4 linked regions of the Diceros bicornis minor genome follow. The protein of the gene in region 2 interacts with the protein of the main gene of each other region in a pairwise test. Links are inferred from orthologs where the notes say so. Each region holds a gene or a part of one and is shown on either strand. Other genes may lie near its edges. The genes, in order: DRAP1, SDCBP, NADK and CDA.

The links.
Region 1: the proteins of SDCBP (region 2) and DRAP1 interact in binary tests that used the Homo sapiens proteins (3 or more experiments, as listed by UniProt). The two-hybrid records come from large-scale screens. The link is inferred for Diceros bicornis minor from reciprocal best matches to the Homo sapiens genes SDCBP and DRAP1.
Region 3: the proteins of SDCBP (region 2) and NADK interact in binary tests that used the Homo sapiens proteins (3 or more experiments, as listed by UniProt). The two-hybrid records come from large-scale screens. The link is inferred for Diceros bicornis minor from reciprocal best matches to the Homo sapiens genes SDCBP and NADK.
Region 4: the proteins of SDCBP (region 2) and CDA interact in binary tests that used the Homo sapiens proteins (3 or more experiments, as listed by UniProt). The two-hybrid records come from large-scale screens. The link is inferred for Diceros bicornis minor from reciprocal best matches to the Homo sapiens genes SDCBP and CDA.

What each region holds. Positions count from the first base shown.
Region 1 is NC_080770.1:7,367,906-7,374,946, forward strand, and holds DRAP1 (dr1-associated corepressor), read right to left. Parts: upstream 2,819-7,041; 5' UTR 2,648-2,818; coding exon 2,606-2,647; intron 2,369-2,605; coding exon 2,296-2,368; intron 2,185-2,295; coding exon 2,091-2,184; intron 1,776-2,090; coding exon 1,656-1,775; intron 1,559-1,655; coding exon 1,444-1,558; intron 1,207-1,443; coding exon 1,118-1,206; intron 747-1,117; coding exon 641-746; 3' UTR 512-640; downstream 1-511. Other genes in the region: C31H11orf68 (UPF0696 protein C11orf68 homolog), read left to right, coding at 3,109-3,230, 3,930-4,686. UniProt on the Homo sapiens protein: The association of the DR1/DRAP1 heterodimer with TBP results in a functional repression of both activated and basal transcription of class II genes.
Region 2 is NC_080772.1:11,906,267-11,913,477, reverse strand, and holds the start of SDCBP (syntenin-1), read right to left. Parts: upstream 3,009-7,211; 5' UTR 2,908-3,008; intron 1-2,907. UniProt on the Homo sapiens protein: Multifunctional adapter protein involved in diverse array of functions including trafficking of transmembrane proteins, neuro and immunomodulation, exosome biogenesis, and tumorigenesis.
Region 3 is NC_080752.1:22,581,501-22,589,120, forward strand, and holds the start of NADK (NAD kinase), read right to left. Parts: upstream 3,009-7,620; 5' UTR 2,911-3,008; intron 1-2,910.
Region 4 is NC_080752.1:37,612,599-37,620,289, reverse strand, and holds the start of CDA (cytidine deaminase), read right to left. Parts: upstream 3,006-7,691; 5' UTR 2,961-3,005; coding exon 2,807-2,960; intron 1-2,806. UniProt on the Homo sapiens protein: This enzyme scavenges exogenous and endogenous cytidine and 2'-deoxycytidine for UMP synthesis.

The sequences.
Region 1 (7,041 bases), on a different chromosome or scaffold from region 2:
TGCACCACTCACAGTGGCCACAGCCGGTGTGGTGCTGTGTCACTGCTCTCTCGTGAGCCAGCCTTCAAGGCCCTCCACAATCTCGCCCACCTCTGCTCCCAGTGCCCCTTCTCACACCCTTCGTGGCACCTGGCCCAAGTTCTAGTTTTCAAGACCTGTTCTGTTACCTGTCGCATCTATCCCTCTGCAGCAGCCTAGCAGGGACAGAATGGTCTCCATCAGAGAGATGCGAGGAGGCTGCTCAGAGAAGGGTAGGAACCTGCCCAGGGTCACACAGCACGATGAAACAGGTTGTCTCCCGGCATAATGGGTACCTGCTGGCTCAGGCCCTACACCACCCTGCCCGCCTTCCTTCCCTCAGCACCACTGGGCCTGCCCTGGCATAACTGTGACGTAAAGCCCCTCCCTTCACTCTGCTGCTGCCTGGCCCACCACCACTCCTGGCCCCAGCTCAGTGTGGAGAAGGCAGGTGAAAAGATGGCAAGGTGGCCACAAAGCCCTAGACAGAGGCTGGGACAAACACTGGCATTCCCTTTTATTTCTTTTTTTTAATAAATTTAAGAACAGTTCTACCTTCTCTCTTCCCCCCAGAACAACCAAAACCAACTAAAAAGGGGTGTGGCCTGGGGGGCAGAGGGCGCTAGGAGTCATAATCCTCTTCATCCTCTGCATCAGGTGCTGAGGGGCCTGGGGGCACTGGGGGCAGAGGCAGAGTTGAGGCAAAGGGCATGAAGGGTGTCGGGGGGCTGCTAGGCAGAAAACAGGAGAGGAAGGTCAGGCCACTGCTCATTCCTGACCCCTAAGCCACCCCCTGCCCTCCACACGGGCAGCATGGAGCCCACCGCCCTCGGTACCAATAGGGAGCCAAGCCCAGAGAAGGGAAGGGCCCAAAGCAGGTCACACAGTCCCTGCCCAGGCCCCATCCACTGCCCCGCCCAAGAGTGGAAGGGACCTTCGGAGAGCACAGTCTCCTACCTTTAAGCCCTCCTCAGTTTCTCCCTTCCCATGCCCCAAATCTGCCACAACCAATAGATCCAAGTGGTCATGGAGGCCAGGAGGGACAAGTCAGCCTTGGGGAGTCTGCTGGCCCTTTCCTGGCGCCCACTGAGCTGCTTACCTCTGTAAGTGGGCGGGGGGGTGGCTGGCCTGGGGTGGGGCCTGCGGTGTGTCCTCTTCCCCATCGGTGTCTGTGTCCTCAGACTCATCCTGGTAGCAAGGTAGGGATGAGAAGTGACATGAAAGGCATGGACTCATCACTGGAAAGCACAAACCCCTGAGAGTAGCAGGGACAGGAGGGTGACCTCCATAGTCCCAATTTATAAACAACAAAACCAAGGTACAAAGAGATAAGAGGTGAGGATGGAACCAGGCTCCAGCCAGCCCGGCCTGAGACAAGCCTGCCCTCTGCACACTACGAGACAGAGGGCTGGGGGCCTCACTCACCTCCTGCTCCGAGTCTGTCCCCGACAGCTTCTTATCCTTGCCTTTGCTTCCCATCCCACCGTTCTTCCGGCCACTGCTGCCTGGCTTCCGGCCCCTTCGAGAAGGTACAGTCCATCTGCCCAGAGGTCACCCCCCCATTCATCACCCCCCAGCCACCCCCAACCCTGGTGGCCTTGGCCTTCTCCACCTGCACACTGGCCCTCGGTCCCCACCTGCGGGCACTCTTGTCCCCATCCATGTGGTTGTCTTCCCCGTCCCCCTGCATGTCAGGCACAGATGCCACCAGGTCCTTTAAGAAGTCAAACTGCTGCTCCAGCTCAATGCACTGTTTCCTGGAAGAGATGGGGAGGGGATGACACTCAGGTGGGGCCCAGATGTCTGGGTCCTCAGCAAGGGACAGTAAGAGGCTCTGGATGTCAGGAGAACAGAGCCTGGAAAGCCTCCACCCCATCTCCACCACCCGACCTCCCCCGCTTTGCTGGAACACCCAACTCCTCCTCCCCCAGTTCAAACCCACCAGTCTTGGAGGCCTGGCTGGTTTCCCAGCAGCCTCCCACCTCCCTCACTATAAGAACGCAGCCGCCCCTAACTGTGTGAACTCCTGGGGCACGGCCCCACTCAGCCCTCTCAGCTCCGCAGCCACTCACAGGTGGGATGTGGTCATGGTCTTGGCATTTCGGGACTGGGTCACCTGGCAGGCCTTCTTCAATAGCGACTCCAGGAAGAGCTCGAGTGCCCGGGCTGAGGGGTGTCAAGGAGAACGCAGCTAGGGGGGTCCCCAGCCCACACAGGCGACCCCGGGCTGCCTCCCTCTCCCACGTCCCTCAACCCAACCAGCCCCCAACAGGATACAGATGATGACAGGCACAGCCGCCGCCACCTTCCCAATCTCTTCGTCTGTCTGCATGATCTTCTTGATCCGCGCCTGGGGAAGGGAGAGAGCTCGGACCCCGTGGCCTCCGACCCAGAAAGGGGTGCTGGGGGCGAGCGAGGGGGGTATCCCAGGAGAAGGGGGGAGGGGGGCACGGACGCGGGGAGGGCACGGAAGGGGGCGGGGCGTCCGGGCCCCCGAACAGCGCGAAGCGCCCGCCCCCCCAGCGGGGCCTGGGCACAAGCCTCACGAGAGCCCGGCCGCTCCTCCCGGGCCCGGCCACGTGCTCACCGGCGGGAACCGGGCGTTGTACTTCTTCTTCTTGCTCGGCATCTCGGGGACTCTCTCGCCGCGCCGGGCCCAGCGCCGCCGCCCGCAGCCTCCCGGCCCCGGGGCCTGCTCGCCGCCCGCCCGCCGCGGTTCCCCCGGGTCCTGGCGCCGCCTGCTCCGCCCCTGCCGCTCCCCACGGGGTCCTAGCGCCGCCAGTCAAGACGCCGCTCCCAGGGCTCGAGTGCCCTCCCCTTATAGCCTCCCGGGCGGTGCACGTCGGTCCGGGACAGGGCCGCCACTCCCACCCGCGCCCAAGGCCAGGAGAGCGAACGTTAGCCCCGCCCACGCAGGCCCGCCCCTCCCCGGGCTCCCTGACGGCCCCGCCCCCGGGGTCAGCCCCGCCCCCACCTGCCCCGCCCCTTCCCTCGTCGGCCCCGCCCCGCGGCGCGGCCGATCCGGCCCGGGGGCCCCGCCCCGCGCTGCGCTTGTCTATAAAGTTGTTGTTGAGGCGGCGAGGCGCTAAGATGGCGGCGGCGGCGGCAGCCGTGGCGGGGGCGGGGCGCGGCGGCGGCGGCGGCGCGGAGCCCCGGCAGGAGCGGAGCCGGGCCCGGGGCTGGGCCGGCGCCGAGCGCAGCGAAGGCCGGAGGTGACGGCTGGGCGGCGGGAGGGGGCAGGGCCGGGCGGGAGCGTAGCTCGGGCCGTGGGCGCTAATGGCGGCGGGCGCGGCTGGCCGGCGGCTGGCCCTCCCGCAGGTTCCCACCAGCCTGGGTTCGAGTCCGGGCACCGCCCCACTGGCCTCGGACCCGTCACAGCCCTTTCTGGGCTTCAATGTCCTGGTTTTTAAATAGGCCCGATGACACCCCCCCGGGAGGCCTGGCCCTGCAGGGCCTGCCCCAGTGCTGCGCGATTGCGCGCCTGTCTTCCTCCCTCCATTAAATCCCGGCGCTCGGGGACCTGCCAGTGACTGGCAGGGCCAGGAGGTGTGGCTGGGCCGGCTGCTTCCACACCTGAATGCACATTATGGCCCTGTCACTCTCTACAGGTGTGACCTTGGGTAAGTCCCTTCTCTCTGAGCTTCAGTTTCCTATCTGTAAGTCAGGGACAGTAGTGATAACATTAGCAACAACACTTACGTAGCTCGTGTTCCGCGTCAGGCATTTAATTCTCAACAGCTCTACAAGGCAGGAACAGTTGTTACTTATTTTAAAGATGAAGCAACAGAGGAACGGTGACATTAAGTCTTGCCCAAAGCCACACAGCTTAGTTTAGTGCCTAGCACCCTTCTAGGGCCCAGTAAGCTGTAGATCTGTCTTGGACCTGCCCTAACTCGGTTCCCTCGCTTCAGGATGGAGCCAGGTGAGGAGCTGGAGGAGGAGGACTCTCCAGGCGGCCGGGAGGATGGCTTCACTGCTGAGCATCTGGCCGCGGAGGCCATGGCAGCTGACATGGACCCCTGGTTGGTGTTTGATGCCCGCACCACACCTGCCTCAGAGCTGGATGCCTGGTTGGCCAAGTACCCGCCATCCCAAGTTACCCGCTATGGCGACCCTGGCTCGCCCAACTCGGAGCCCGTGGGCTGGATTGCAGCATATGGGCAGGGCTACGTCCCCAATTCAGGCGACGTGCAGGGCCTGCAGGCAGCCTGGGAAGCTCTGCAGACCAGCGGGCGGCCCATCACGCCAGGTACCCTGCGCCAGCTGGCCATCACCCACCACGTGCTCTCGGGCAAGTGGCTGATGCACCTGGCACCTGGCTTCAAGCTGGACCACGCCTGGGCCGGCATTGCCCGGGCCGTGGTCGAGGGCCGGCTTCAGGTGGCCAAGGTGAGCCCACGGGCCAGGGAGGGTGGGCGCCAGGTCATCTGTGTTTACACGGACGACTTCACGGACCGCTTGGGTGTGCTGGAGGCCGATGCAGCCATCCGTGCAGCAGGCATTAAGTGCCTGCTCACCTACAAGCCTGACGTCTACACCTACCTGGGCATCTACCGGGCCAACCGCTGGCACCTCTGCCCCACGCTCTATGAGAGCCGTTTCCAGCTGGGGGGCAGTGCCCGCGGCTCCCGTGTGCTGGACCGCGCCAACAACGTGGAACTGACCTAGTAGGGCCAAGTAGGGGAGACCACTCTCTGCCCTCCCTGCCAGGGATGGATCCTCCCGTCTTCCTTGTCCCAAGGAGGCCAAGTCCCCCAGCTCTGAGGACTAGGTCACTCGGGAACTGTCTGCATCTTCAATCCCCTTGAACTTCTGCCCTCTGTTCAGGGCTGACTCAAGTCCCCACCGGCTGGAGGCTCTGGCTCCCTGGAGGCTCTGGCTCCCTGAGGGCCGGACCCTCAGCCTCTCTTTTCGCTGCTGCTCCCCTCTGCCATCGAGGACCGCAGGCTGGGTGCAGACCCCCAGGAGGAGAGCCTTCCTTGGCTGCCCTCATCCCTGGCTGTACCTCCCCCCTCTCCTGCATCTTCCCCTTTTTCTCTTCCTCCCTCACAAGAGAAAAGACTTAGGGCTTCCAGTCTCTCTCCTTGGAGCCTTCACAGACCAGCAGGCAGAGGCCCTGCAGGCCTGAGCATGCCATTTTGTTGGGGGGATGAGTGTGCCCACTCAGCCCTGGGCAGAGAGAGAAGATGCCCGGGCCATGGACATGGGGCCTGTCCCTCCCTGCCCCCTCACAGCCTGCACCACCTTTCTCCCTTCCTTCACTACCTTGTCATGTGCCTGCTCCTGGCATTTCAATAAAACCCAGATTGGGTCTGTGTCTTGAGTGTTTTTTAAAATACTGTGTTGGTGGTTACTTGCTTTGGTTGCTGGAGAGACGCAGGGCCAGGAGAGACTGCCCCTTTGCTCTGATGGGGCCCCCCTAACATCCCCCAATAATAAGATACTCCTCACTGCCAAGCTTGAGAGGGGCTGGCCCCGTGGCTTAGCGGTTGAGTGCGCGTGCTCCGCTACTGGCAGCCCAGGTTCGGATCCCGGGCGCACACCGACCCACTGCTTGTTGGGCCATGCTGTGGCCGCGTTCCACATACGGCAACTAGCAGGATGTGCAACTATAAAATACAACTATCTCCTGGGGCTTTGGGGAGAAAAAGGGAAAAAAAAGGAGGAGGATCGGCAATAGATGTTAGCTGAGGGCTGGTCTTTCTCAGCAAAAAGAGGAGGACTGGCATGGATGTTAGCTCAGGGCTGATCTTCCTCACCAAAAAAAAAAAAAAAAAAGCCTGAGAACTTCTCTGAGAGCCTCTGCAAAGCCAGCCCTGCTTCCCCTCCATCCTAAGAATCAGAATCAGTTTCTCAGTGATTTCCCATAAATCCAGGGGCTCAACCCAGCAAAGTCCGAGGGGCCACTACTAACCTACAGGGTGTATTGGCGCCTGTTAGAGAAAGGTATCCTCTTGGTCTAGAAGTTCTGGGCCAGGGCACACGGTCTGGTGAGCAGCAGATAGGCTGGATTTCCGAAATCTAGGCTGGACATCCTTGTGCAGTGAACAACCTGCACAACCATAAGTGACCCTGGAAGCTTTCCTGTTTATACTCACCTCTCCCACCACCCTAATCATCACGGGCCACAGAACGTTTGCAAAGCACTTCCTTATGCATTATTTAATCACAACCTCTTTAAAAGGAGATGTTGGTCCCATTCTGTGGTCAAGGAAATTGAGGCCAAGAGGGGAAGGGAATTCCCTCAGAGTCGTGGTGAGTCGGGCAGAGCTAGGCCTTGCACCCCGGTCCCTGCCTCCTCCTCAGGCAGAGTGTGGTCCCTGGCTTCACCCACAGGGAGCTCCAGGCACATTCCCTCACGTGATCTCACTGGGCCACCCCGATCAGCTGAGGCTGCTGCAGCCTCGGAGCCTGGCTCTGCACCCCCCAACCCCGTGCCTGGCCCTGGCCTTGGTTGGAGGCCAGGGTGTCTGGCAGGGAGCCCCTTAGGACACTGCTCTCGTGCCGTGCCGGAGCTGACTCATCCTCCAGCAGCCTCACCAAATTGGAATTTGGAGCAGGGGAGCGGAGATGCCACTGGGCTGACTGGGTGGAAGTGGGTGAGTCATGAGATGCTGGCTCAGCCCCCTCCCCAGCTTCCTCCCCACCCTGAGCTTCCCCAGGGCTGAGTCCCCCCTAAACCCAGCCCTGGGAAGTCCCCAGAGCTGAGTGGTCTCCCCTTGGAGCCTGGTGCCCTGCCTCCCCCAGCCTGTCAGTGCTCTACACTTGACCAAAGTGCGCCAAGGCTTGTGGGGGATCCTGGGAAGGCCCTCATGGGTCCCCCAAAGATGCCCAAGGGGTGTCAACACCGCCTGGTTCTCCTTCCATAACTAAGCGTTTGACACGCTCATCCCTTCTCCAGCCTCATGGCCCTGCTTTAGCCCATTCCTCACTCTCTCTTCACCAAACCATTGCACTTGCCTGCTCTGCCCGCTTCCCCTCCCACTTCCCCCCTGTGCCCCCACAGCCAGCTCTCCCGCAGAG
Region 2 (7,211 bases):
CATATACAAGAATTAACTCAAAATAATTCAAGGACCTAAATTTAATACCTAAAACAATAAAACTCTTACAAGAAAACACAGGACAAAGGATTGACGATGTTGGATTTGGCAATGATTTCCTGGATATACCAAAGGCACAGGCAACAAAAGAAAAACAGACATATTGGACTTCATGAAAATGTTACAATTCTGTGCATCAAAAAACAATACCAACAGAGTAAAAACGCAACCCACAGAATGGGAGAAAATATTTGGAAATAACATATCTGATAAGGGATTAACATCCACAATATTTAGACAGCTCTTAAAACTCAATAACAAAAAAAAACAAACAGAACTGGCAAAGGACTTGAATAGACATTTCTCCAAAGAAGATACAGAAATGGCCAATAAGCACATAAAAAGATGCTCCAAGTCATTAATCATTACGGAAAAGCAAATCAAAACTACAAGACATCACCCCAAACTCATTAGGATGGCTACTATCAAAAAAAGAGAAAACAACAAGTGTTGGTGAGGATGTGCTGAAATTGGAACCCTTTTGTGCACTGTTGGTGGGAATGTAAAATGGTGCAGGTGCTACAGAAAAAGTACAGCTGTTTTTCAAAAAATTAAAAATAGAATTACCACTTCCAGCAATTCCACTTCTGGGTATATACTGAAATGAACTGAAATCTGGGTCTGAAGAGAGAGCTGTACACCCATGTTCACAGTAGCATTATTCACAGTAGCTCATACGTGGGAGCAACCCAAGCGTCCACCGACAGACAAACGGAGAAGCAAATGTATCCACACACAATGGAATATAATTCAGCCTTAAAATGGAAGGAAATTCTGCAATATGCTACAACATGGATGAACCTTGAGGCTATTATGTTAAGTGAAATAAGCCAATTACAAAAGACAAATACTGTATGATGCCACTTATGAGGTACTTAGAGTAGTCAAAATCATAAAGACACAAAGTATAATGGTGGCTGCCAGGGGTTGGGGGGAGGAGAGAATGCGGAGTTATTGTTTAATGGCTACAGAGTTTCAGTTTTACAAGATGAAGAGTTCAGGGATGGATGGTGGTGATGGTTACACAACAATATCAATGTATTTAACACCTCTGAATTGTACACTTAAAAATGGTTAAGATGGTAAATTTTATGTTATGCGTATTTTACCACACAAAAAAAAAGGAAGGGGGAAAGTATATTTATATGTTTGTTTGTATAGGTATAAAATATCCCTGTATGGATATCTAAAACGTAAAATGGTTGGCTCCCACAGGAAGGGAATATGGTTAGCTGGAAGACCTAGAAGGAAGACGACTTAAAACTGTGTATCTTTTTTATTGCTTCAATTTTGAGCCATATTTCTGCTTACCTCCTCAAAAACTAAATAAATGTACAAAAACTGTTCACATCACTTGGAAAGAAATTAACAAATGCTAATATAACTATTACTAGATATATATATATTTTAAAGTTGTTTGGGGGACTCCTTTTAGAAACTCTAAGCATTTACTACCTAAAAATTACCTAAATTTGGCAAAAACAGGAAAAATAGTTGAATCATTCTCAATTTAAGGAACTGTTTTACCCAACAGTACATTCAACTGCCAACTATTAGTAAATTCTTCCTCTTTTGGTCGTGATTTTTATATCCTTTCTTATAATGCCCAAACATAACTAAAAATTAATGTTGTCAAAGTTAAATCTGGATTATAATGGAGTGACTATTTCCTGCATCTTTTAAAACACATTCCACTTGCTTATTTTTATTCTGTGGCACAAACCACTTGATCTATAATATTTACATACCATTTAAACTACAAAAGTTTTTAGAACTAAGTTGGTAACAGACAAAATGAAAAAACATTTTTTACTGTTTGTCCTTAACCTCAAACAGAAAAACTAAAGACGGGACAAATCTGAGTGCAAACTAATCACTTATATATACCTGCGATTAAGCTAAGAGCTTGCAGCTGTTTTTCAATGTAATTTTCCTTATTAATCAATTATTTTTCTCTTTGAAGTAAGCAGATGTTAAGAGTCTGGTACACTAAGTGTACTCTGTAAGTAATGTACTTACACACTAGAAAAAACAGCGGTAAATCTGTATGCAGATAATATATACAGACTAGATAAACCTAGAAATTCCTTTCAAAAACTGGCACATTAGAGGACTCCATGACTACATAATTCCACTTTGGTGAAAAAGAAAACTTTCCACGTCCCTATGTCTTCAGTTTCCCGTTATTACAAGGAAATCCTGAAATGAAAGCTCTGAGTCACTAGATCTCAAGGGACCTTACTTCTGAACACACACCCTGCTGGAAACGTTTCTCTTTCCTCCAATTTCTCCATAAATAAGCGCACAGCGAATCACCCTCTCCTCCATCCCCTTCCAGAAAGCCAAGGCTTCGCCCACTCAACAAACACCTCCTCCCTCCTTCCAAATCCGCGACAGTCCGATTAAGCACCACGCCAGGTGAGTGAGTCCAGCCCAGGAACGCGGAGCAGGGTGGGGAACCGCAGCCCGGCTCCTTCTGCCCCGGGCACCGGGGAGCTTCTCCAGGAGGAACAAACAGCGCCGACGGGGACCGCAACGCCGAGCAGCCGCTGACTGCGGCGGGGTGACCGCGCGCCCCCGCCCCTGCGCCCCGGCCCCGGCGGGCCCTTGAGAGCGGCGGCGGCGGGCAGGCAGAGCACGGCGCCCGCGCCAACTTTCGCCCCGGGCCCGGCTGGGCGCCAGGAGGGGCGCGGAGCCCACTAGGGGACGGCGGCGCCGCCCCGCCTCCCGAAACCGCCGCGACCCAGACGCTCTCCGCTTAGTGCCGCGGCCCCTCCGCCCCTCCGCCCCTCCGCCCCACGCCCGGGACGCGGCTGAGCGTCCCTCTTTTCCCCCAGAGCTGCTCACCCAGGCCACAGGACCAGCTCGCCGCCGCCGCCTCGGTCGCTGGCACGGACTTCCGAGACCCGAGGGGAGGGGAACGGCGCACGCCCCAGGCCCGCCCGCGAGGCGCGTCACGGCGCCGTCCCCGCCCCTGCCCGCGGCCCGCGCAGGCGCACGGCGCGCAGTCAGGTGACCCGGTCCCCAAGGTAACGGGGCAGAGGGGAGGCGGGTGACGGGGGCGGACGTGGCGCCGCTGCCGCGGCTCCCCGGGCTTGGGGAAGGTAGAGCTGCCCACGCTGCCACCTGTTGTGCTTGCCACGTTCTCCACGCTCCTAATGGTTCGTGCCCGGGGGCCCAGTGCCTCCCGCTCACTACTGTGAGGGGTTTGCGCTCGTGGTCACTTGGTTCCCATCACCTCCAATACAAAGAGAGTCCTGAGAACCTATCCTTTGGAGATTTCCTCGCCAACCTTGGACTTCCACCACTATGGTCCAGCTCATCACCACCCTCTCGCTTTACCACCTTCAGGCTCAGAAACATTCCTCCCACTAACGCTTCTCAACTCCTGCCCTCTTTGTGTTACAGCTTTTTTCCTTTGGCTTTTATTACTCTCTGTCCATCTAACCTGAAGTTCCTTGGCTGTTGCAAGTTATGTGTGGTACCGCACAAAAGTAGTAGCTGTATCCTAATTCAAAAACTAAAAAACTGTATTTCTTGAAGGCTAACTGTATTCCAGGCGCTGTCCCAACAGCTTGATGTATGTAGTCTTATTTGGTCCTTACATCAAGCTGTTAGATAGGTATAACAACCCCATTAGCGTACAAAAACACTGAGAGACAGTTTTCCTAAGTTACCTACATTTACCATATCGTTCCCATGGAGTAACATAAGTACTTGACAAAGTAACATTAACTTAGGAGCATTTTATCTCTAGCCAAATTTAGTGCCACGGTAATTTATGGTAAAAGAAATAAAAATCTGAGCATAAAAGAGATGACAAATAAATAAAACGAAATCTTTGCCATCAGGGAGTTTATGGTCTAGCTGATAAAATAGACATTTAAAAATAATGACACAAGGTGCTGCCCCCCACCCCCTGTGGTGTAGTGGTTAAGTTGCACACACACACACACACACACACACACACACACACACACACACACACGCTTCAGTGGCCTGGGTTCCCAGGGCCCAGGACCGCTGCACAGACCTACACCACTCCTCAGCCATGCTGTGGGAGTGACTCACATACAAAATAGAGGAAGATTTGCACAGATGTTAGCCCAGGGCCAATATCTTGCTCAGCAAAAGGAGGAGGATTAGCTCAGGGCTAATCTTCCTGATAAAAAAAAAAAAAAGTTGAAGAGTAAGAATTAGCCAAGTGAAAAATGGAGGAAAAGTGTTTCAGGCAAAGAGAATAGCAAACTCAAGAGCGTTGCAGTTAAATTGAAGCTTGATGCATTTCAGAAGCTGAAAGGCCACTTTGGCCAGAACACAATAGTAAGAGAAGGAATGGCTTAAGAAAAAGCTGGAGAATTAGGCAGGGCTGTACAGATGCTACTGAGGAGTAACATGATTAGATTTGCATTGTAAAACGATTACTGTGGTTACTGCTTGGAGGATGGATTGGATGTGTGGATAAGTCTGGGATGTGCAGAGACACACTAGGAGACTACTACAGTAGTCCTGATGTGCCAATTACAGTGAAGATGGAGAAAAATCAGAGAAATCCAAACAATATTAGAATAAAGATTCAAGAAGGCTTAGTAGTTGGTAATGTGAACTAAATATAGGGAGGTATCTTACCTAAGGTAAGTACCAGGTTTCTGGCATGAGCGAGTAGGTGGATGTTGGCACATTTGCTAAGGTGGGGTACACTAAGATGAGAGAAATAGGAGGTGGGAAGATTAGAAGATTGTTTTTGGATTTATTAAATTTGAAGTGGCATGTGAGTTATCAGTTGTGGTAAGCTGAATAATATCCCCCCAAATATGGCCATGTCCTAATCCCCAAAACTTGTAAATATCTTACCTTACATGGTAAAGGGGACTTTGCAGGTGTGATCAGGTTAAGTATTTTGAGATGGGGAGATTGAGAGAGAGAGAGAAGCTAGAGGATCAAAGTTGGTAGTAGAAGATGTAAGGGAGAAAGCAGAAATTGAAATGATGTGGCCATGGGCCAAAGGATGCCAGCAGCCTCTAGAAGTTGGAAAAGATAAGGAACAAATTCTCCCCTGGAGACTTGAAAAGGAACCAGCCCTGTCAACATCTTGATCTGCAGAATCACCTTGATGCGTCCATCACCTATGTCTACAGAAAACTGAAGACTTACTCCCTAGTGAATGAAGCGAGGGTGAGTAAATATCTGTATACTGAATAGTGAAACCCTGGTCCCCTTTTTTCCATCTGTCCATTGGCTTCAGGGATGCTCACATTCAGGCTTGTTGCCATCCCCTGCCTCCATGCAGGCAGTAGATTGAAAGATACCTCTTTGGAGAAACTCAAGAGAAAAGACCTGAAGATACTGACAGTTGACCTAATCACCCTGTAACGATGTCCCCCAGTTACCATGCCCCATCTTTGTTTTTAGTCCACTCTTAAAAATGAGCAGATACCCAAGCCAGCCCTGATGGCCTAGTGGTTAAAGTTCAGTGCTCACTGCTTCGATGGCCACCCGTCTGTCAGTTGCCATGCTGTGGTGGCAGCTCATGTAGAAGAACTAGAAGAACTTACAACTAGGATATACAACTATGTACTGGGGCTTTGGGGAGATTAAAAAAAAAAGGAGGAAGATTGGCAACAGATGTTGGCTCAGGGCAAATCTTTCCCTGCAAAAAAAAACAAAAGAGCAGATACCCGAAGATTCCCCCAAATTTGAAGAAGCCTCTAGTATGAAGAAACAAACAGAGGGAAAAAAAGAGAAATGTCACTGAGCAATGGGCTCACTCTGCTTGCCATGATCTGAGCCAATCAATCACAATGAGTTAGGGATTGAGAAAGGAAGCTTTAATTTGATTAGCCAGTATAATTGGGAAGATGGCAGACTAAGGTCTCAAAAAAACCATCTTCAAGGATTACAGAGTCTCGAGGCAGTTATGTAGGGAAAATGGGCTGTAGGGAGGGGGTCCAGAGATGTTGCTCTCCAGGCGTGTTAGGCTCCAGGCATCACATTGTTCCAGTCTTCTGTCAGGTGTGATGGATAACTTGTAGGTGTGTTTCCCTCCTATGGTCAACCTGTTCCTGGAGAGAAACTCATAGAACAAAGTTTTAATTTGTCAAGCTATAGGGGAGTACATAGGTAAGCAGAGGCCACGAGTCAGGAGAGCATGCGAATTTTTTTAGAGTATGTGCAGAGCAGCAAGTAGTCACACAGAGGAGGGGCTGGGGCCATTTAGTGTAACAAGATGACCTCACTGATGCTCACTTACAGAAATAGGAAGAAACAGTGACAAAAAATGTTAAAAGTCCATCATTGATCTTTTTCAGAGAGAGAAGTTATTGCATTCATAAAAGAGGAACAGAATGATATTTTTAAGGAATATTCAAAATGTTATGCTTTAAAAATGACATCTTGGATATTAAAATGTATAATGACAAAAACGTAAAAAATTTCTAAAAGCTTTAAAAGGTAAAGTCAATGATTTCTTCCAGAAAGGAGGATTAAAATTTCAAAAAGATAGTAAATAGAAGAGAAATAATAAGATCAAGGATTGATCCACGAAGTCAAGCATCCAAATACTAGAAGTTCCAGAAGGAGAACATGAGAAGAAGAATGTTCTAACTAATGCTAGAACAGTACAGAACTGGAGAACAGGTATCTCCAGGTTAATAGGACCCGCTGAGTACCCAGAACAGTTCATTTTAAGAAAGACTCACACCATGGCACATCATTGTGAAATTTTAGAACATTAGAGAAAATCCTAAAAGTTCTCAGGTAGAAGAAACAGGTCATATACCCATGACTGAGAATCCGAACGGACTGGAAATGCTTGAAGGACAATGCTAGAGGACAATAAATCAATGCCTTCAAGATTATAAGAGAAAGTGGTTTCTAACCTAGAAGTCTATACCAAGCTAAACTATATCATTCAAGTGCGGTAGAAATGAAGAGATTTTTCTATATACAAGGAAGCAAAAAGTTTCTCTCTCATGCTCCCTAGCTCAGGAAGTAAATGATAAAGTAAATATATATTTGCTGCACAAAAATAAGAATACAACAAGAAAAAGGAAAAGAGAGTAAGAAGGTTCCTACAACACAGAGGCTTCAGCATAAGAGAGGGGCAAAAAGAGTTGAAGGATGATGTTGAAGGGGATCCTGGGAAGACAACC
Region 3 (7,620 bases), on a different chromosome or scaffold from region 2:
ATGGGGTAAGCTGCACAGAATCACACGCATGTAAAAACTGGTGGAATCTGAATGAGGAGTGTAGGGTAGCGAATGGTATTTTTCCAACACCAATTTCCTGGTTTTCAAATTACTGTATTATTGACATGTAAGATCCAGGGGAACGGTGCAGGGGTTTCTCTGTACTATTTTTACAACTTTCTGTGAGTCAGTCTACACTTATTTGAAAACAAACAGCAAATTAAAAAAAGGATAAACCAATCAAAACCACAAAAGGCAAATGTTTTTAAAAATCGTCTATTACACATATCTAGAAGCTGTTAAAATACACTTGCCAAGACTAATTTGGTGACTAAGCAGTAAACGAGTTCATAAAATAATCATATTAAATATTAAAACCAGCTTTTAAAATTTATCTCACATTTGGGCCGGCCCCGTGGCTTTAAGCGCGCGCAATCCGCTACTGGCGGCCCGGGTTCGGATCCTGGGCGCGCACCGACGCACCGCTTATCCCGCCATGCTGAGGCCGCGTCCCACATACAGCAACTAGAAGGATGTGCAGCTATGACATACAACTATCTACTGGGGCTTTGGGGGGGAAATAAATAAATAAAAATTAAAAAAAAAAATTTATCTCACATTTAATTCAACTTTGTTTGGTATGTTACTGTTTTAAAAGGATGAAATTCCAACTCCATCCAAGTTCATTCAAGTTCCTGACAGCAAGAATCTAATTCGAAAAGACAACGTCTGCATTGGAAAGTTTTTAGAGAAGAAGTGTTGGAGCAGAGTAACAGAGTGTTCGTGGGTAAAGGACTCCCAGGGTGGTGAGCAGAGACGCTGAGACGCCAAGAAACAGGTGAAGGACCCAGCAGAAGCCACACACACGCAACTGTTCACTGACACACACATCTCCAGTGTGAGCTCTCAACACCTATTTGCTGAAATACTGAATGAAAAAGGAAAGTTTAGGGGCCGGCACAGTGGCACAAGCGGTTAAGTGCGTGCACTCTGCTGCGGCAGCCCGGGGTTCGCCAGTACGGATCCCGGGCGCGCACCGACGCACCACTTGGCAAGCCATGCTGTGGCGGCGTCCCATATAAAGTGGAGGAAAATGGGCACGGATGTTAGCCCAGGGCCAGTCTTCCTCAGCGAAAAAAAAAAAAGAGGAGGATTGGCAGATGTTAGCACAGGGCTGATCTCCTCACCAAAAAAAAAAAAAAAGGAAAAGGAAAGTTTATTTGGTGACAGAAATGGGAAAATGTTCAACCTCACTAATTAACACTGAGTTGGAAAAAAAGTGCCTATGAAATTGCCCTTCTCTTCTCCCCCAGTAAATAACACCCAATGCTGCAAAGACAGTGATAAAACCGGGCACTGGCAGTGAACAAATCAAGAAAGACCTTTTGGAAAGTTGGATGGCAACGTGAACCAAGTGCCTGAGCCCATGGACTGAACAGGATGAGAGACCTGAGGGGCTCTACAGACAGGTGGCTGCTCCTTCCTGGGCAGGTGAGGAGAGGGGTCTGTGCAGGTGTCACCCTCCCTCACACACCTCCTGGGCCACACTTGCTGGCTCCTCTGAACACTTTTCACGGGTAGTCTAGACACATATTTCCTGTTCCCATGCACTGGACCTTATGCCAGTTGTGGGTAGGGAGACCGCAAAGGGTAAGCCACCAGCACAAACAACAGAAATGGAATCCTGGAGTTACAAGCTGACCCCCACTTGGCAGGATGTGAAGCCTGGAGGAGGCCTGCAGGCAGAAGTGCCCCCTGCCCGCCCAGGGCTTCTCTGGCTCTTGTAACATCCAAGCCTACAGAGAAATAGTGATTGGAGGTAACAAAGATGTGGGGCCATCAACTCCCGTAAAATACCACCCGCCTCTTCATTCTGCAGGTTAAACCTATCTTTTCTCAAGCACTAACATACGCAATAAAACCAACTGTTGTTCCCATTTCCTTATCAGGGAACAGACTGGTCGGCCGGAATCCCCACCCCCGAGAACTGCTGCTGGGAACCCCCCAACTGTCCAGGGACTCCCAGCCGTCGGGGGCCCTCAGCCGTCCGGGGCCCCCCCAGCCGTCCCGTGCTCGGGTGCCCGGAGGACAGGACGCGGGGACTCCGGGAAGGGGCCTGAGGGCGCCGTCCGGATGAAAGGACACAAGTCCCTGTGTCCCGCCCGTCCTTCAGAACCAAGGCCCCTGGGCGACCCCGGCCCAGCCCCCTACCGCGGGCATCGGCAGGTCACATGTGCATTCTAACCTAATTGATCACCCCATGAGGACTGGCTCTCGGAGGTATCGCCAAAGCGCGGACTCGGGGCCGCCCAGCAGCCGTCCTCCGAGATCGGGGTCGGCCCGCTCAGGCCCGGGCCCACATCGCGGAGACGCCCCATTCCCCGACTCCTCGTGACCCCGACTTCTGGTGATCCCGGACCCCCGCGACCCAGACCCTCGGTGACTCCGACCCCCCGCGACCCCGATCTCCCGTAACCCTGGCCCCCCCGCAACCCCAACCACCGGTAACCCCGATCCCCGGTGATTCCGACCCCCCGCGACCCCTGTCCTCCATGAACCCAATCCCCCGAGACCCCGACCCCCGGCGACCCAGACCTCCGGGAACCCTGGCCCCTGCGACCCCGACCCCAGCGATCCCGACCTTGGGTGATCCCGGACCCTTGAGACCCGACCCCCGCTGACTTCGACCCCCGTGACCCCGATGTCTCACGAACCCAGTCCACCGAGACGCCGATCCCCGGCGACCCCGACCTCCGGGAACCCTGGCCCCTGAGACTCCGACCCCAGCGACCCTGATCCCTGGTGACCCTGACCCCAGCGCCCTCGACCCCCGGTGACTCTGGCCCCCCGCGACCCCTGGGAGCGGCGACCCGGGGCGGCAGGCCCGGCCGAGCGGCCGCGCGTACTCACCGTTCGCTGCCGCGGACGCCTGCGGGGCCTCCCTCTCGCCAGGCCGAGCCCGCGGGCCCCGCCCCCCGGCTGCCGCTCGCCGTCGCTACCCGGCTCCTGGCGCCGCGGCCGCCCCTCGCCCCATGGCCGCCCCCGCCCCACGGCCACCTGGGCCGCGGCGCCGGCCCGCCGAACAGCAAAGCCGCCGCGCTGCCAGTGCGCACGCGCACCCAGCCCGCCCTGCGCATGCGCCTGCCCGCCCCGGGCACGTGGGGCGGTCTGTCTGGACGCCGGGACCGGGCTGGGTGAGGGCGGGGGCCGGGGGCCGGGGGCCGGGGGCCGGGGGAAGGAGGCCACGGTAGAGGGGAGGCCATGGGGCGGGGGACGGGGCATTCGCTGCCCACACCTCGACGGCGATCCCGGGAGGACGACACCTGGTCTCCGCTCACTCCGTCGCGTGGGAAGCTCGTCTGCCCTCCCGCCCGGGCCCGCTGACCTGCTCCTGTCCCGCCCCCGCTCCCCTCTACCTCGGGCCAGGTGGGCTGCCTGCGGTCCCCCACGAGTGGTGATACCACCCGCCGAGGATTCCATAACTACCAGGGTGTGACTCTGCTTAGGAGGAACAAGTTTGGGGAACCAAAATTCGGTGTGAGCAGCTGCGACAGAACCGCACCCCTCCGCTGCCGGCTTAGCTGGAGGGAGCGAGCCTGCCCCCAGGCCCTCGTGGGCTTCGCCCACCCCAAGCAGCCTGGCGGGTCCTTGCACACCACCTAGACCTCAGGGGCTCTGGGCCTAGGGTCTCAAAGGGGCCCCTCCAGGGTGACCTGCCAACACTGTTGTCGTGTCGTCCCCCCCCCCCCCCCCCCCCGTCCCCGTCCCCGTCCCCGGACTTAAGGACCCAGAGGAGGGAGGAAGGGAGCCAAGGCCACAGTACCAACTTTGTAGCTTCTGGTGTAGCTGCGGGCCTCCCCCAGTCCAGGCACCTCCTCGAGGTGGGTGGGTTCTCCCAAGGCTTGCTGAATTGACGGTTACCCATCACTAGTGCATTCAGAAGTCGTGTCCCAGTGGTGTGCCAGGCTCCTCGGACATGTCTGTGAATAAGTTGGTGCACGGTTACTGTAGGAGATGAACCCGGGCAGTGCACTTTGGGCTGCTTTCTAACCTGCCTGGCTCCCCAAGTGCCAGCCCTTATTCCTTCTCTACACTTGGGGTTCCCGGACATGGAGCACCAGGCCGGTGGCCCCCAGGCTTCCCCACACCGGGTACCTGCTGTTGTCAGAATTCTCTGGCCAGGATTCCTGGCTCTGTGTCTAGAGACCTGGAACACGGCTGGACACAGAGCAGGACACGTCTCACTGCTGTCCTGGGACCACTGGGCAGTGGGGTCACAAAGCGTGAGTGGAAAGAGGGGCAAGGATAGCCGGAATTTGGGGGGATTTCTCAAGCTCTGTAACTTCCTCATCTGGTTATTTTGTAAACCTGACTGCTTCCCCAAAGTGACCACCAGCCACACCCACAGAAGAAGCCTTTTGAGCTGTGTTTTTGGATGTGATCATTAACATAATAAAAATACTAATGCTTGATCCAGGACTTGCTACATGCCTGGCACTGGGCCAGGCTTCCCAGGAACCTTCTGAGCAGGGACAGTCTGAGAGAAGGCACTGAGGCACGAGCTCTGGCCATGTGACTAGCCGAGATTACACAGCAGGCACCCTTCCTGTGTACACGTCTCTAAAAGGAACTTGTGCAGGTGCGTGTCTGTGATCAGGGACACCCTCTGTCCACCCTGGACCTCGAGACTTCGGGGAAGGGGCGCTTCCCCATTTCAGAGATGAGAACATGGGTTGTGGCTTCCTTCAGCTGACGCTGGTTGTGCAGTCTACCCCAGCAGGCCCCGGGGCTGACCCTGGGGATTCGGGGGCCTTGAGCTCATACCCAGTCCCCCAAGGGCTTCCTGCAACAGCGAAGGCCAATGCTGGGAGAGGCAACTTAGGGCATCCGGAAGGTTCCTACAGGAGGTTTCGCATGAGCTGAGTCCAAAGGCTGAGCAGGGATGAGCTAGCTGTGGTGGGGAGAGGGAAGGGCCAGCAGCGGGGCCAAAGGCCGGTGTGGGGCTGGGGGCTGGATGCCAGTCAGGCCAGTTTGGCTGGGCAAAGGATGAGGGGTCTGCCTTAGCCTGCTCAGGCCGTGGGGGACATGCTGATGCCTTAACCTTTCCCAGCACCAGGCTACCTGCAACTCTTAATGTGATTTGGTATTTGTTTCTTTGTATTCTTTTTCTTAAACATGGCTCCTCTATTGTTGAAGTTTCAGACCCCCAAAACCTTGACCCACCCTCTTCTGAGGTTTGAATGATACAGCGGGGTAGGTGGAGTGGGTGGTAGGAGAAGGGGGGAGCCTGGGCCATGAAGGGTGGGCAGGATGGGGCGGCCCACCTAGAGCTGACAAGGGGGTGCCCCTGGATTTTGGGTGCAGTCTGGGGGACTCCTTGGCTCTAGAGTGCAGGCGGGGGGGGGGGGGGGTGCTCCTGGCTCTCAGGTGCAGGGGATGGTGGGGATGCTCCTCTTCGGGAACCTGCTCTTAGCTCTGAGGAAGTTGGCCTCAGCTGTGCCTGGCTGTGGTGAACCGAGCCTGCTCAGCACCTAGTAGGGGAAGTGGCCAGGAGCCTGGGTGACAGGCAGCTAAGAGGGTCTGCAGCCCCCTGTGGAGGAGGTGAGTGTCTCCAGCTTTCCAGAGGTCATCTGGTCCATCTCCCAGCCTCTGGCCTCCAGCCAGCACGCCTAGGACAAGTCTGGCCTCTCTGCCCGGCCTTACCCAGTCCTCCCCAGGGGCCAGTGTCTGGAATAGCCCACTTGGCAGTCTCCTCTTTGGGCTGGTTTTGGGGTTCAGAGCAGAGTGGTGGGGGCGGGGCGTGGGGAGCGCCGAAGACCCCGTCGTCGCAGGGGCACGGCGGGCTCCGCGTTAAGGGCCAGGCACTGCTCGGTGCTGGGGACGAAGGGAAACCCGTGCCCTGGTGCCTGCGCAAGCGCACGTGCGCGCCAGGTGCCTGAGGAGGCGCGCCCTGCCTCCGGAGCTGAAGTGAGCACCAGACGCTGAGCGGGTGGCTGGGGTCAGGGCCCGCGAGGTCACTGAGAGCCCCAGGCTTCCAGGGGTGCAGCGGTGGGCGGAGCGCGGACATCGCACCACGAGTGGGGCCGGTAACCCGGGCACAAGGGGCCGGAGGCTGCAGAAGAGGCTGGAGGAAGGGAAGGGAGAAGGGCTGGCACCCTGGAGGGAACGCAGCCAAGAGCAAGATGTCACTCAAGTGCGTCAGGCTGCGGGGGCAAAGTGCTAACAGGCCCTGCTCAGGCTCCCAAACTTGAGTTTGTGCCTGAAGTGTGAAAACGATTGCAGCTCACACTCAGCAGCACCGGTTGCCAGCTGCTCTCGGAATGCCCCTAGTGGCACCTGTTTTCAGTGAGGGCTTTGCTGAGAAACTGGGACAGCAGTCTCCAGACCAGTAGAGGGGCTGCGCTGTGCGGCCACTGGGTCAGGGAGCAGGGGACATGCTGGTGCCAGGCTGGGGCACTGGAAACAGGGATTCCCGAGGGGAACAAGTGCCCGTCTGTGGGCCGGCCAGCCAGCCTTTGCTGGGGCTCCATTTGACCCTGTACCTGCCTGTGCCCCTCCAAGGGTGGGCCACCGTGGGCTGGTGTGCCCCTGCTTCTCAACCCCAGGAGACCCTCCCTCTGGAGGACTCCGGCTGCCAGCCCAGGGAGCACCTCAGATGCTCTCTGGCATTTTCTAAGACAGCTGGCAGCGTTAAAACTTGCAAAGAACAGATTTATTTCAGGGAAAACTGGAGGAGGAGGTTGAAGCCAGGTGAACCCACGGTTCAGGCTGCCAGTCACCCAGGAGACAGCACCCCTGGTCCTGGCAGAAACACTCAGAAGACCTCGACAGGGGCAGCCGAGGCCCCTCCCCAGGCAAAGCAGGAGGCCCCTGCTGCTTGTGCTTCCTGGTGGTGGAAAAGGGAGCCTGCGGCAGGAATACTTCCCACTGAGAGCAGTCTTCACTTATTTATGAAGTACCAGCGTTTGACCCATGAAAATTAGAACCTTGAAAATAAAGATTGTGTCCTTCAGCAGAGAAGACAGGAAGGGGCAGGTGGGAGGAGGTGGAGCAAGCGCCCTCCTCGGTGACACTCGCACTCAAGCTTGGTTTCTCATGCTTGGTGGCAGATGCTCATTTTTTTTGTTTTTTGGTGAGGAAGATCAGTCCTGAGCTAACATCTAGTGCTAATTTTCCTCTTTTTGGTGAATAAGATTAGCCCTGAGCTAACACCTGTTCCCATCTTCCTCCATTTTGTATATGGGATGCTGCCACAGCATGGCTGATTAGCGGTGCGTAGGTCCGCGCCGGGATCCAAACCTTCGAACCCCGGGCCACCGAAGCAGAGCGTGGGAACTTACACACTACGCCACCAGGCCGGCCCTGATGCTCATTTTTTCTTACAAGATGCAGTTCTTTTTATTCAGACTATGATGAAAACCGTTCAGTCAGAAGGAAAGCACGTCTCTGGAGTAATGTCCTCAGGTATCTTAGGGAGGGAAGAGGAACGAATGGCCGCCAGCTGGGCTGCAGGCCCAGACAAGGTGAGAACGGCAGGACAGCTGCCTCGGGAGACCCACAGCGCCTGGGGAAGCGGCCCAAAAGGGGGATGGGACAGGGCAGTCTGGGTTGTGACAGGTG
Region 4 (7,691 bases), on a different chromosome or scaffold from region 2:
ATACCGAGTGCTTAGTGAGTGCTCAATCCATCGTGTCTCTGAATGTTGCTGTTGGTCCCTGCCCATCATGCCCCCAGCATAATCCAGCTCTGCCTTCAGCTTCCCACCTCGGTCCGTGCCTCATCACTCCCCCGGCCCACCTCACTGGAAGTCCTAGAACCATATTCCTTTCCTTTATTTCTAATACTGCCAATCCCAGGCCCGGTCCATTTGTCCCACACAATATCTCTGAGATCTTTCCTTGCTCTTCATTCCACCTGCTACTGTTCTAGTCCAAGCCGCTCATTCACGCGTTCACCGAAGCTTAACTGAGGATGTATTACAGGCCAGGAAATGCGCTGGCACAGGGGACAGGTCAGCAAACAAGACAGACATGGTCCCCCTGACACTCTTCCCTCTGCCCCAGCGCTCCTTGAGTACCTGTCAGACTAACTGTCCTCAAACACCACTTTCACGTTGCTCTTCTTCTTAGTAACGTTCCTGGGCTCTCTACTTCCTACCTCATCAAATCTCAATGTCTCTGTTTGGCCTTCAAAAGGCCTCCACGATCCGCTTCCCCCTCATCGTCATCATCATCATCATCGTCCAAGTAGAAGCAGCCATCATATGTGACCGTCTTACTGTGGGCCAGAAACCGTGCCAATCCCTTCATAGGCATTAGCTCCTACAAAGCCTCACAACCAGGCACGAGACTCAGCATTTTCAGTGACTGATGCAGCACAGGCTCCAAACGTCAGGGGGGACCCTGGCTGCCACGCCAGGCCACGCAAACCTGCTCTGTTCACAGCCATCCTGAAAAGCGGGCGTAATGATCCTCCGTTTGCTCACGTGTAAGCTGAGACTCAGAAGGGTCAAGGGTCTTGCCCAGGGTCACATAGCTGATAAACAGCAGCACCAGGATTCAAACCCAGGAGCCTCTAACTCCCGAGCTTCACCCCATCTCACAGGGCCTCCCTGAATCCACATTGCACAACCCTTTCTCTGGGGACACCAGGTCCTTCTCTGCAATTTAAATAGGCTTCACTCCTGCTCACCTCATTCATTCACTCCTATAATCATTGGCTGAGGATCCCACTTTGAGCTATGGCCTGTGCAAGAGGAGGGGACCTCCTTAAGGGCAGGGACTATGTCATTTCTGCTGTGATATCCCCAGAACCTGGTACGTTACCTAGCACATAATTGGTGCTCGGCAAATATTTGTGGAATGAATGAATCAATGCAAGGATGGGCAGGGCCCCTTCCTGTATACCGTCTGGAGGAGATGTGGAGGCATTGGGAAGAATCAGTAGCTGATTCCATGTTCATGGCCCTGGAGCCGTGGGGCAGCGTGGGTTGCAATGTTTAATACCTGTCTGAGCCACCAGGCCAAGCCTGAACTTCCACATGAGACTCAGAGATCCTTTGTTCCCCTCAGAGGAGCAGACTTCGGAGTCAGAGGAGCCCTGGGTTTGAATCCCAGTTCTTGCGAGTTAACCTCTTGGAGCCTCTTTCCTTCTCTGCAAAGTGGGGATGTAATAACCACCTTGCGGGGTTCTAAGGCTTAGATGGGTAACATTAGGCACGTTCCTTTCATGTATTAGGACTCACTCAAGGTTCCTTCTCCTGCTCAAAGATGTTTAAAACCCGGGTGACTCATGAAACTGACAGAACCTCAAAAGACAAGAGATAACATGAACATCAAGGAGAGCTATAGAAGGTGAGGCGGGGGCCGCAGCAGACTCACAGCTGAGTGGTGGTGGGGGCGAGTGGCTCACACCTGGCCCAGGGTGCTGGGGGTTACCAATTCGATGCACACATGTGAGTCTTTGCTCCTTTAACTACCTGCTGCCAAGCAGAGGGGGAGTTCTAGGCAGCAGGACTCGGTGCTCCCGTCCGTCCCTCTGTGCCAATTCTCATCTGCTCTGGGGTGGTGGTGGGAATGAGAGGCGTGGGGAGGGGCTTGGCTTCCCTGCCACCTCCACAGCATGTTCCCCACTGTCCTGAAATAGAATGCCCCTTAACTTAGCAAAAACAAGTGTGAAATTTTGTCCAAGTGAGCTTTTTTATAAAACCAACAAACCAAAGAAAAGTTGCTTAGGAACAGATTTGTGCTGACTCGGATTCCTGTCCCCCCCTCCCCAGGCTGGCACTCATTGCTGGTCACCCAAACCCAGCCTGGCTTCTTTCCTCCAAGACCCTCTGCAAGGCCCGCACCCCACAAACAAGTCACTTGACCTGGATTCCGGGCTTTCTCCATCCCTTAGCATGGTGGGTGACGGGAAAAAGCAGGGTTTTGGGGACCCCAGCCCTGGCTTCCACCACCAGCGCCCCGTGTGGCCTTCAGCAAGTCATGTCATCTCTCTGAGCCTCAGTTTCTTCATTGAAAAATGGGCATAACACCTAGGTCAGTGGGTCGGAGGTGAGGACTTGCTGATAGAACTTGTGGGAGCCTTAGAGGGTCCAGACACAGAGGAGGGCTCAGAAAGTATTAACCCTCTCCCTCCCCGCACACCAGGACTGCGGATGCCTCCCCTCCAGCTTGCTTCCTCATCCCACCCTTGCTTCCCAGTCCTCCAAGAATTGAAAGCCCCTAGATTTAAGCAGCAGATGAGTTTTCGGGGCTCCTTTACACCTTCAATCCCGCAGTCTGGGCCAGTGGGCAGGGCAGGGGTGAGTGGCAGCGTTACAGGGGATGCTCAGGGAGGAGGGGACAGAGCTGCTCTCTTCTCTGCCTGTGCCTTCTGTGTGTCCTTCCCACTTGTCCACTTGTCCTCTGACTTCCCCATCCAGGCTGCCAGGGATGGGGCCCCCGGGCGCCAGCCCTTACCCGAGAAGATCCTCCCGTCCCGGGTGAGGAGGGCGGCCCCCACAGGGAAGTGACTGTAGGGGCAGTAGGCTGACTTCTTGGCCTCCTGGGAGGAGAGCAGCAGCTGCTGGACCTGCTCGGGCTCCAGGGTGCAGGCGGGACGCTCCTGGGCCATGTCGGTTCCTGGGCTGCGGAGGAGAGGAAACAAGCTCGCCGTCTGCCTGAGCTGGGCCCCACTAAGACGGCAGCTCCTCCCCCCGGGTGTGTCCCTGCGGAGGGGCTGCCAGATGCCCGCCTGCGGGGATGCTGGGCGGGGCCCGCTCAGGGAGAGGAGTGTCCAGTAGTTCTGAGTCAGAGGGTGTGGTGTGTAAGGCTGAGCTAGTGTGTGTCCAGCATGGAAGGATGTGTGCTTCACACTCTCCCTTGGGACCACTCACACTGCTGCCTCACTGATGGGTGAGTGGGTCAGGGGACGGGTGCCACCATGCTGGGGGTGACTGTGGACACACACTCCTCAGAGGAGATGCTGTTGGGCGGGTCAGCATGAGGTCTAGGAAGTCCCAGCTCCAAGGGCTGAAACTCTCTGTTGAATGACTTCTTCTCTCTGTCACTGAGGGAAGGAGTGAGGCTGAAAGGGAGGGGCTGGGGCAGCCACATTCTTGAGACACATAGTGTGAGTGCAGCAATAAGATTGAGGAGCTTCCTTATTTCACCCATTCTCCTTCCAACTCCTCGCTGCCTCAACACAGAACTTAAAAAGTATCTCAGCTGGAGGGAACTTCAGAGATCATCTACCGGGGCCTTCTCCTATTTTTGTTGGCAAAATGAACACTGGGTTGGTGCTAAAAGAAATGGGTTTGCATCCTGGCTCCACCATTTTCCACATGTGTAATGGGTGGCAAGTTACGTGACCTCTCTAAGCCAGTTTCCTGGTCTCTACAGTGGGGATAGCGTTAATCTCTGTGCTACGTCCTCAGATCACAGAAGAGCTTGAGTGTGGGGGTTTGGTAGATCCTAGTTTGAATTCCAGTTCTGCCACTTATTAGCCGTATGACCTTGTGGAGGTCATACCACCCCTCTAAGCCTCAGTTTCCTCATCTGTAAAGTGGGTGCACTAACGGTATTTCACAGAGTTGTTGCGAGGATCGAATGAGGTAATGTGTATACAATGCATATGGTTGGAGGATCCTGTGACATCATGATGTTAGCACACTTTGTGGCTCCATGCGGATTGGGTTATTGTCATTAAATGATTTGGCTAAGATCACATAGGAAGGCAGAACAGTGTCCAGAGGTGTCCAAATGTCCCCAGACCCCCAGCAGGCAGGAGTAAATCAGCGGCTTCTCTGAGGGCTTGGATGGGGGGTGAGGAAGGGGAAGGGGGAACGGTAGGGGAGGGGGCAGAAAATGAGGCCGCGTCTCCAGGTTCTGCATGCTGACATCTCTGTGCTTTGCAGCCCAGCATCCCTGTGTCCTGCACCTTGGCCCCTCTGTGTCCTGGGCCTGGAGCTCTCAGCCACGTAGAGACCCTGCTGGGCCACTGTAGAGTTGGGCACTTTGCCTCATTTCCTCCTCCCCTCCCCTCCCTTCCCCCCTTCAGAATTCCCCCACCCCCTTTCTGCACATCCAGCCCTCAGAGAAGCAGCTGGTTCCCTCCTGCTTGCTATTGCATTTTCCTCCTGGATCTACACCTTTGGCATCTAGAGCAGTTTCCTGGATCTGAGGCAGGGCAGGCAGAGAAACCACTGGGAATGCTCTCCCGGTCTCCTCTATTCCTGCACTGCCCAGATGCCCTTTCCCCAGGGAAAGAAAGCAAAGGATGTCCTGGGACCATGTGTACCCACTCAACATGGGAATACTTCTAAGGCTTCTGGTGGCCAAGTATAACTACAACTGGGAAAAGGGGTGTGGTGCCCTGCTGGCCTGCCAGGCCTGTTCCTGCCCTGTCTTGACTCACCCCAGCTCTGCCCAGACCCAGGGCTGGACTCCTTGGCTCCCCAGTTACAGGAAAACTGGGATGACTTCCAGGCTAATTATGATGGCCGTTGGCACCTTTGAAGTTCTTTCCCGGCACATGGTAATAAATGGGGACAGCGCCCATTGCAAACTCCGCTGTATGGAGCTTGGGAGCCAGCAGTAGCTCTAGATTTCCTTATAGAAGGGGCTTGGGGTGGCCATCTGGATGGAAAGGGAGCATGGGCCTGGAGACTTTCTTAGAGCTAAGTTATAGATCAATAATATTAACAGAATTTTCTAAACATGCTTTAATCTCCACTTTATATAAAATTGAGAGAAATTAATTGCCCAAAGAATTAACTCAAAGAATAGGAATATCCAAGGAAGGTATTTTGAGTGGTGGTGGAGATTGTCAAGGGCCCAAAGTTCCCCCACCCCCATCCCCTAGGCCTTTCCTCTGTGAAGAGAACCACCCAGAGTCCCTGTGTTAGAGCTCAGATACCACCCACTCATTCATTCAATGAATAGTTACTCATAATAATAGCTAACTCTGCTTTAGCTCTTTCCATGTGCCAGGCCCTGTGCTAAATGCAGGACTTGAATTATTTCATGTAATCCTTACCACAAGGTACACACTGGCCATATTATTGCCTGCGTTTTACTGATGAGGACACTGAGCTCATGGGGATCAGAAATGGATCTCAAACCCGGGTTTGTCTGCCTCCATCCGAATCCTGGACTCTTGTCCATCCCTGAACTCATGCGGAGCGGGTATAACGGACTGGCAAATCCTCCTTCTGCCTCTTATTACCAGCTGGGTACCTAGGCAAGGTAGCTCATCGCTCTGTGCCCTGCTTTCCTCATTTATACAGTGAGACAACTCCAGGACCCACCTAGGGTGGCTTATGGTGACCGTAGCCTTACTCTGCTCGAGAAGGTTTCTCATTTCTTTTATTTCGTCCCCTTTAGGGGAGACCTCCTGATGGGCTGCCAGTCACTGTGCTTCCACTCCCTGGTGGGCCTAGGCAGTTGACACAGGATGGCCCATCAGAGACCTCACCTTTCTGCTGGGAATGTTGGTTTCTCCCACTGTGGTGGCTAAGCTAAGAGGATGTGACTATTGCTGACGGCCAGCTTGCCCTCCGGGTAGAGTGAGCCTGCTTGCAAAGTGAAGCCAGGTGGAGAGAGGCAGAGGTGAGAGGTGGAGGGAAAGAACCCTGATTTCCCTCTGAGTGCCTGGATCCAGCCATGCCTGAGGCATGCTTCTAGACTTTCCTTCTATTGAGCCAGTAATTCACTTCTTGCTTAAACTTTTTTAAGTTTTGTTTCTGTCAGCTCTATGGCATCTAGGCTAAAATACTACTTCCTAGGATTGTTGTAAAAATTGAGTGAGATGTTATATGTAAAGCTCTTAGCACAGTGACCGGCACGTGGTAAGTGCTCAACAAGTATTAGCTCCTATTATAATGAAAACTGTGTGCCAGGCCCTGTGCAGGGCACTAGAGAATCAGTTGAATGAGACTTGGTACCTGCCTTTGAGGAGCTCATACTCTAGTGAAGGAGACAGGCAAGTCAATAGATAGGTATAAAACACTATAACACACAATTAGGTACTGGGTCCTGTGACAATACTGAATAACTAATTATCTGGAGGGAGCGGTGGGGAGGTGGGCTGGAGAAAGCTTCCCAGATGACAGGAGGCTAAGAGGAGTCCTAAATGATGGCTGGATGTTCAGAGTGGACAATGTGGGTGTTATGGGTTGAATCATGCCCCCCCCCAAAAAAAGATATGTTGAAGTCCTAACCTCCAGTACCTCAGAATGTGACCTTATTTGGAAATAAGATCATTGCCGGTATAATTGGTTAAGATGAGGCCATACTGGAATATGGTGGGCCCCTAATCCAATATGACTGGTGTCCTCACAAGAAGATGGTCATGGAAGACACAGAGACACAGGGAGATTACCATGTGTAGATGGAGGCAGAGACTGCAGTAAGGCATCTACAAGCCAAGGAATGCCAAAGATTGATGGCCATTACCAGAAGGTAGGAGAGAGACATGGAACAGATTTTCCCTTACAGACTCGAAAGGAACCAACCCTGCTGACACCTTGATTTTGGATTTCCAGAATCTAGGACTGTGAGAGAAGAAATTTCTGTTGTTTTAAGCCACCCAGTTTGTGGTACTTTGTTATGGCGGTCCCAGGGAACTAATCCAGTGGGTATAGCAGATGCTGTCAGTGCCTCATCTACCCCCTTAGCCACCCCAGAGGCCACCTCCAGCTTTAGTGGATAGATCCTGGACATACTCATGGCTTCCTACCTTATGCATACCCTGGGCACAGGAGTGTGCTTAGCCCATGCATAGGGGAGGCCAGAAATGTCAGGGAGTTAACACTCCCTAGAGGGATTAGGATCCATAATACATCAAGAATTCCTAAAATCAGTAAGAAAAAGACAAACATCTCAATAGAATAGTAAGCAAAAGGCTTGAACAGGTATTTTACGGAAGAAATAGGGCTGGAAAGAACTTCTCTACAAATTTTCAAGTCTTCGAACTTGGCCACATAAAAATTAAGGAGTTTTGTTCAGTCAAGGACTTCATAGACAAAGCTAGCAGAAGGTTAAAAAAACTGAAAAAAAAATTTCGATGGCTAGAACAATAACAAACGAATAGCGTAGTGATTATGTAAGAAATTGACAGCAAATCAACAAGACACAGACAGGAAACTCTATAAAGAGATGGACAAAGGATATGAATGGGCAATTTATAGAAGGGGGAACCCAAATGGCAGGAAGTATTTGCCCAATTTCCTTATAGTCACAGAAATGAAAATAACACAATGAGTCACTTTACACCTATCAGAATGCCAAAAAGAAAAAAAACTAGGATGACGACAAGTGCAGGCAAAGATGAGGGGAGACTGGAACACTCACGTGCTGCTGCTGG